2 linked regions of the Sus scrofa genome follow. The protein of the gene in region 2 interacts with the protein of the main gene of each other region in a biochemical or structural test. Links are inferred from orthologs where the notes say so. Each region holds a gene or a part of one and is shown on either strand. Other genes may lie near its edges.

Evidence for each region.
Region 1: the proteins of CRHR1 (region 2) and MAGI2 form a complex in vitro, tested with the Homo sapiens proteins (2 studies listed by BioGRID and IntAct, with this or other methods). The link is inferred for Sus scrofa from reciprocal best matches to the Homo sapiens genes CRHR1 and MAGI2.

Annotation. Positions count from the first base shown.
Region 1 is NC_010451.4:100,845,811-100,849,706, reverse strand, and holds the start of MAGI2 (membrane-associated guanylate kinase, WW and PDZ domain-containing protein 2), read right to left. Parts: upstream 3,015-3,896; 5' UTR 2,496-3,014; coding exon 2,195-2,495; exon of another isoform or gene 1,843-2,194; intron 1,506-1,842; exon of another isoform or gene 1,342-1,505; intron 1-1,341. UniProt on the Homo sapiens protein: Seems to act as a scaffold molecule at synaptic junctions by assembling neurotransmitter receptors and cell adhesion proteins. Plays a role in nerve growth factor (NGF)-induced recruitment of RAPGEF2 to late endosomes and neurite outgrowth.
Region 2 is NC_010454.4:17,257,638-17,261,443, forward strand, and holds part of CRHR1 (corticotropin-releasing factor receptor 1), read right to left. Parts: intron 2,201-3,806; coding exon 2,094-2,200; intron 1,284-2,093; coding exon 802-1,283; intron 512-801; coding exon 451-511; intron 1-450.

The sequences.
Region 1 (3,896 bases), on a different chromosome or scaffold from region 2:
AAAGCTCTATTACAATCTTCTTAATAAGGTAAAAATGTTTCATCCTTTGAAAATTTCCACACATTCATCTTAGTTTTTACCTATAGAGTGTCACGGGATAGTCAGAATTCCTTTTCTTACTGATAGCTTTTCAATATTTAATGATAGTTTTCATAACTTCACCTGAGTCTTTCCACTGGATTTTATAGAATATAGATTGACAATACCCCAAAAATTTCCCTTTCTTTTTTCTTTTCTTGATGCTAGAGTTACAGTTTGCAGAGCTCCATCTCAAAATGCAGTGTTTAGAATGAGTACATTAATATGTGGTCATAATTACAAACTATAATAGAATTACCTCCCTTATTAGGATACTATCATTAGCCCAATTTAACAATGCGTTGAAGTTTGCAGCCACTTTGCACTACCAAATAGGCTGCCAACCAGACCAACATCATTAATTGTGCTATAGATTTTTGGGCTCAAAACCAAAACTTTACATTTATACCTATTGCTCTAAGATAGTATCATGACATCAAATATGTTAATATGAATGCCTACACTTGAGCCTCTGGGATGTCATCTTGAAAAATATCAAGATATGCTATTTGCCTTAGTATCAAACTCATATTCTTCAGTTTTATATGGTATTGAGCTATGCTGACCTACAAGTCAATGTTCACATTAGCTATTATCAAGTCATCAGCTATTAATACTCAATATTAATACGTCATCAGCTATTAATACTTAATATTTTCCCCCAGAGAAAAAAATTTTTGAATGGCAATTTACATTTAAGAAAGTTTGTCTGAAATTTCATTTTTCACTGGTTCACTTCTAAAACTGGTTTTACAGAGAAGAGTATCTCCCTATCATTCTCAACCAAGAATGTTTCTTGATTGTTAATCATGCAGTAAAATTAAGTAGTTGTTCAAAATGCAGGCAATGATCCACTCAATTCCATCTTTAAGGCAGGACAAACAACATATCACCAATAACAAACCCTTAGATTGATGTGATATGCACATATACATGCATGCCACATATGAAATGTGAATGTGAACTACAAAACGTATGCAATCCCATGTAGAAAACAAAGATAACGCTACTTTAACTGAAGTTGTCCTCTTTCCAAGAAATTTTTATCTCATTCTTTCCTCCTCCAGGACTATAATTTGCTTTTGAGCAAAGTCTGTGAGAGTTCTGCAAGATCCTAGTTTCCTTAAGTCCCCACCAACAGCAGTTTTCAATTGAGGCTCGTCTAAACCGGCTGCAGCTGAAGGAGTCTGAGTTGTAACCAGCTGGCTTTTCCAGCTCCTCTTCAGAAACACGCCCCCCCTCCCCCCAATCGGAAGCAAGAGGAGAGTCCAACCAGGAGAACTTCCACTCAAAGAAGGCAACTTCATTGTAAAGAACATTCCGGTAACCACGTCTCTCCCTCCGACCCTCAACACTAGAACTTGCAGCTAGTGCGGTGCCTCCCTCCGGACCCACCTCCCGCAGGCCAGCTCCGGGTGAGCGCTCGGGTTAGTCAGTGCGCACGTGACGCGCGGTGCCCACATGACGCGACCGAGGGCGGGGGAGGGGGGAGAGAGGAGTGAGGCAGAGAAAAAGTTAAGGAAGACCCGTCAAAGCGCTCGAAGCAATCTGCCCTTTCTCTTCTCTGTCAACTAGCGTCCCAGAAATCCCCAGGGGACCGGGCTTCTGACCGAGGCGTCTTCGGTCCAGCTCCCTAAACGGAGCCCGCAGTCCTCCACTCGCCCCGCCACCCCCTACTCCTCCCGGCTCTGCTGATGATGCCACTGCACCTTCAACTTGCTCCTTCCTCTCTCATGCCTTTTCCTCCTTCCTTCCGTCCTTCCTTCCCTAAAAGCTCAACAACCACTGCGAGCCGTGCAGCTGACGCACATTCAATTGTCCCAGGAGCTCGCCAGCACCTCCGAGCTCAGACAAGGCCGAACACCTTCCAAAGGGGAGGGGGGGTAACTGCGCAAACAAAGTTGCACACCACACCGCAACCCGCCCCTCCCTTCCACTGACCCCCTCCTCCCCCCCCGGATCCCCGGCAAAGCTCACTTGCTCTGCCGGACTCACGACCTCACCCTACTGTCGCGCAACACACCCCCTTCCACACGCGAGCCCACCCTTCTATTGTGCCCCGCGCTTCGGGCGGTCCAGCCTCCTGGCAAAGCACAGAGCCAGCCGCTGCGCTCACCTTGCTTGACACACTTGAGCCGGAGGGGGTCCTTGCAGTGTTTGATCACGGCCAGCACATCCCTGATGGTGAGCCCCGCCACGGGGGTCTCGTTCACTTCCAGAAGCAGTTCCTCCGACACCAACTTGCTGCCGCTCTCATAGGCCACCTTGCCGGGCTTCACCTCTCCCAGGTAGGGGAACTGTCCATTCTCGGCACCCCCCTTCAATTCAAAGCCCAGCTGGCCCTCGGGGTTCCTGCCAATGACACTCTCATGGACTTTGCTAGTCCAATGGCTTTTCTTTTTCAAGCTTTTGGACATGGCAGTGGGGTGAGTCGCCTCAGCCTCTGAGGGCTTCCTTTAGGATAGGGGAGTTGGTGCTGCGAGAATGAGGATGGAGGAGCCAGGGGGCCGAGAGGTGAGAAGAGCAGACTTTGCCTTGCTCCTCTCTCTGTTCGGTGCTTTCCCTCTTCTTTGGATGGAGTGTGGACGAGGAAGGGGGAGGATGACAGGGACCGCTGGGCAGAGGTAGGAGAGCTTGGGTAAGGTTGTGCTGTCCCTTGAATGACACTCAAGGCTGTGGCCCCGCAGCGGAGAAGAGCTGTGGTGGTGGTGGTGGTGGTGGTGGCGGCAGCGACGGCGACGGCAGCCTGTGCGAGCAGTAGCCGAGCTGGTGAGCGGGTGGGGTGGGGGTGGGGAAGGAGGGTAGGGATGCCGGGGGCCACTCCTGCGTGGTGCGAGTGGGAGCGCGCGCGCGCGCGCCTGAGTGTGTGTTGTTAGCTGATATCCATGGTAGCTGCAGTGGCAGCGGCAGGGTCCGCGCGCGTGTGCGTGTGTATGTGTGCGCGCGTACTAGTTGTAATGTACTGGCAGCAGGGGAGGAGGCAGAGGGCAGAGGAGGGGGAGGGAGCGGGCTGGAGGGGGAGGAGGGGCGCGCGCGCGCCGGGTGGGGAGCTGCTTCGCTGCTGTCTCCGCTCCCTCCCTCCGCGGCTTGACCCGGTAGTGAAGGCTGAGAAAGAGGCTGGCTGGGTCCGCCTGGCAGCCTACGAGAGGAGGCGGGAGCGGGAAAGGAGGGAGCCGAGGCCCGGAGTGGGGAGGCTGGCAGGAAGGGCCGCGAGCCCAGTGCGGACGTTTCTTCAGCCTCCCAGCGGCCGAGCGGCCCGCTGGGTTGCTGTACTGAGGACGTTCAGACTTCCTCGGACCTGGGTGTTGGAGCAGAAATAGTGGTCTTCCTCGCGCCCAGTGCTCGTGCTGCGGCTCGTGCGCCGCTAGCCTCCCGGCGCGGGATGCTGGCATGAGAAAGAGCCGAGCTGTGGGACCCACCCGGCGTGCAGTCGGTGAAGAAGGCCTCTGCGCTGCGAGGCGGGTGGAGGCGTCGGAGTTCACTGTTTAGACGGGCTTTGTCTCCTCACGTTTCAGTCAGACTCCGCAGAGTTCTCAGCATACCCCCTCAGAGGAGCGCAAAGTTAGTGAACTCCGGGCTGGTTTTCCTGTCAGCCGGGTAAGGGGAAGCAGCGTCCCACCCTCAGGTGCAGACGGGAACTTAGCAAAGGGCTATCTGATGAAAGGCGATTCCGGGCACCAAGAGGAACCGGTTCCACTTTTCCTAGTCCGGAGAAGCCGGAGGAAAGGGGATGCGGGGAGGGGGTGCGGGCGGCCGGCGTCAGCCGCTTCCTCAGAGAGCCTGGCAGTTTCGCGCGGGATCTGCGGCGAGACCGTGGG
Region 2 (3,806 bases):
CAGAGCACTGCTAGGGAGCCTCAGATTGAGTCTGACTCCCAGCACCCTCCTATATGGATGAGGAAACTGGGGCCCTGACAGGGAAGGTGACATGGCTGACGCCCCCTGGGGAGTGTCAGGCAGAGCTGGGCTGGGGGCCTCCTTGGGAGTCAGGGGTCCCCCAGAGCAGTGCAGAGAAGGCAGGAAATTTTTTTTTTCTTTTTAGGGCCGCACCTGCATCATATGGAAGTTCCCAGACTAGGGGTAGAATCGGAGCTGCAGCTGCTGACCTACACCACAGCCACAGCAATGCAGGATCTGAGTGGCGCCTGCAACCTACACTGCAGCTCGCAGCAATGCCAGATACTTAACCCACTGAGCAAGGCCAGGGATTGAACCCACATCCTCATGGGCACTACGTTGGGTCCTTAACCAGCTGAGCCACAATGGGAACTCCAAGAAGTAACTTACTTCTCATTGTCATAGTACAGCTTCCCAATGGCCCAGGCCACGATGATGGGGAAAGGCACACCTGGGGGAGAGACCGGCTGTCACAGGACCCATCGGTGGGGTCTGGGGGATGCAGAGCCTGGAGGACCCCAGGGCAGCCCAGTGCCCAGAGGCGGCAGGCCCCCTCCCCCCCAGTACTCACCCAATACGGCTCCTTCTAATGTTCCCGCCATCCCCACCCTCAAGTAATGGCAGAGGGCTGTGTGCACACCCCACCACCCTAACCTGGCTTGGGTCTCAGGCCCCCAGCTGGCTGGCCTGAGTCTGGGCAAGAAGAGGATGGCTGGCCGGGGCAGGGGGTGGCCTGCTCACCCCAGCCAATGCAGATAAACATCCACTTGCGCAGCCGGTCTGTGGAATACGTGAGCACGATGGCCGTGTGCAGGTAGCAGCCCTCGCCGAACATCCAGAAGAAGTTGGTCACATGGAAATAGTTGTAGGCGGCTGTCACCAACCTGCACCAGCCCTGCCACCCACCCCCATCAGAGGTGACGATGAGCCAGGAGTGGGGCACAGAGTAGGGGGGCAGCAGCAGCCCACCTGGCCTGGGGGACCCCCTGCCCCTTGGAATCCTGTTCTGTGGGCTCCAAGGCCTGGCTCTGGCCCCTCCTCCTCCAGGACAGCCCCACCCAGACCCTCCCTCTGCCCCTGGGCCCGTCCCTCCTGGACACACCACGTTGCTCTGGTGGACTTCGGGGCTCATGGTGAGCTGGACCACGAACCACGTGGCGTTGCGCAGGATGAAGGCTGAGATGAGGTTCCAGTGGATGATGTTCCTCAGGCACCGGATGCTCCTGGGGGCAGCGAGGGAGGGTGGGTGACAGGAGGAAGGGGAGGAAAGCGAAGGAGAGAGCGAGGCCACCAGCTCGCTCCAGCCCAGGTGTATGGACAGGGAAACAGAGGCTCAGAGCAGCGTTGCCTGCCAAGTTCCACTGGGAGGTGGCAGCAGAGGCGCTCCTGCTGCCCCACTGGTCCCTTCCCAACTGTGGCGGATCCAGACCTAAGCTCCAGGGCAGAGCCTGCCACACAGCCAATGCCATGGGGACTAGGGGCTGCTTGCTGACCAGGGATGGCCCCTCTCCCCTGAGCTCCCCTCTCTCCCTGTAGCTCCAGGCTTGAGGGTCAGAAAACATGAAAGGCCTCCGGAGAGAGGCCTCCCTCCCAGCTCTCGGCCCTGGTGCTCAGGCCCTGCTCCCACCCCCCCACTCCCGGCACTGACCCGTCTGGTGCTGCCACCTGCATCCCTGGCAGTCATGCCAGTCCCAGGCAGGTTCCAACCCAAAGGGGGCTCCACCTTCCTGGTCTCCCAAATGGGGGCAGCCTGGCATGGGTGTGGGTGACACAAGGCCAGCCTAGGCTTTGGCTGTCCACCTCTCTGCTGCAATCACTGGGCAGGGGTACAGAAGCAGCCCTGCCAGAGGTTCCAAAGGACCTGGGACACCTATATCTGTCACCTCCTCCCACTGGGGTGAGGGGGCAGCTCTAGGCTGGGGACTCCCTTCCTGGCAGCCCCCTGCTTAGAACTGCCTCCTGCCTCTTCTCACCCCTGCTCAAGGCTCTGGGAGGTGGGATGGGGGACAGGGAGCAGGGACAGGGCTCCTCACCTCAGCCGCAGAAAGAGGACAAAGGCCACCAGGAGGGCCACCAGGGAGACACAGTGGCCCAGGTAGTTGATGATGACAGCCACATGGTAGTGCACCTTGCTCTTCTTCTGAGGCAGGAGAGAGGGCAGGCGTGAGGCTTCCGCATGGTTACAGCCCTATGCCCACTCGACAGTGAGGTCAGCCCCCCACAAGTGCCCCCAACAGTGTGGGCAACAACACCAAGAGCTCCCCCCTCCTGAGCCCCTACTAAGCGTCAGGCATTGCCCTAGAGCAGGGCAGTCCAGTTTGAGACTGTGTCTGTCTGCTCCTGAATCCCACGCTCTGCGCACTGCTCTGCACGGTTAGACAAGTATCAGTCAACTTGACTTAGCACATCACACAGGCTTCCTCCCTCCGCAGGCACAAACGTGCCGGCACGGCTCACAGACAGGCTCTCACAACTACATTTCCATTCGGTCTGGACACCAGGTGGCCCTTGTAGGGCAGACACAACCCTCTAGGACTTCTCCTCCCATCTCTGTGTTGAGCCACGATCTTCTTGATCACCCCTAAATCCTTCCTGCTGCGGTCGAAGGCTGTCCTACCAGTGAGGAGAGGGAAGGGCAGGTGCTATGGATCAACATCCACAGAATCATTAGAAACCATTAAAAAAAAAAACAAACAAAACCCAAACCCCAAAAACTCTCTAGGCTCCATAACTGGCTTCCCAGGTTCTACCTCTGGCCCAAGGGGTCTGCGCCAAGTCAATGGGGTCCTCTCTCAAGACTAAAACGAAGTCCCCAATGTTATGACTTAATTCCTTTCACATGCTGATGGAAGCTGGGAAACGCTACGGTCCCCCCTTTCCAATCAATGTTCGCTCGAGTGTTGAAGCCTTCACGTTTACAGAGTATTTTCATACCTGCTGTCTGCTCAAACCCTCAAGCAATGCCAGGGAAAGAGCTGGTAGGGGATCTGCACCTTGTTTTGCAGAAAAACAGGCCCAGAAGTACAAGGACTCATTCAAGATCATTATCACTCAACTTCAAACCACCTCTCACCTTCATGTGCAGGGTGGAAGATGCTGAGGCAGGAAACTGGTGGTCCCCAGTGCCCAGCTCTCACAGACTCCTGTCCCGAGACAGCAACAGGAGCTAGAGAGCCAGAGTATGGTGCAAGGTGGACCCGCCAACGGGTGGGGGGAAGGGAAAAACGGATGCTGGAAAGCAGCTGGTTTCCGGGGCGGAGGGGTGCGGTGGGGGGGCGTGTCTCTGTGAACCCCTCCCTCCCTTACCCTTTCCAGGTTCTGGGGTGGGGCCTGGGCATGACGGGGCACAGAAACTGGCTGAGAACAAGCCCAGCTCACAGACCTGTTCACCCTTTCAGACCCACCAGAGCTCCTGGCTCTCTGTGGACCCTCCTGTCAGAATTACAAAATCTGGGGACATCGGAGCTGGTCCCAAAGGATCTAGTCCAGCTCCACCCATCTTTCAGATGAGGAAACTGAGGCCCAGATTCACCCACCCGAGGACAAGGGATGTACTTCCATGGCGGGACAACCACCAGGCATCTGAGAAGGGGCGAGGTGCTCCCTGCCTCCAGCCCCTGGCACACCCCTTCTGAAGGGGTGTCCTCACCGAAGAAGCCCTAAGGTCCCAAAGGCCCAGGCAGCTCTTCTAGGGGTGGGTTTTCCTGGAAGAGGCTTTCAGGAACATGACAAAATCACATTAGCAG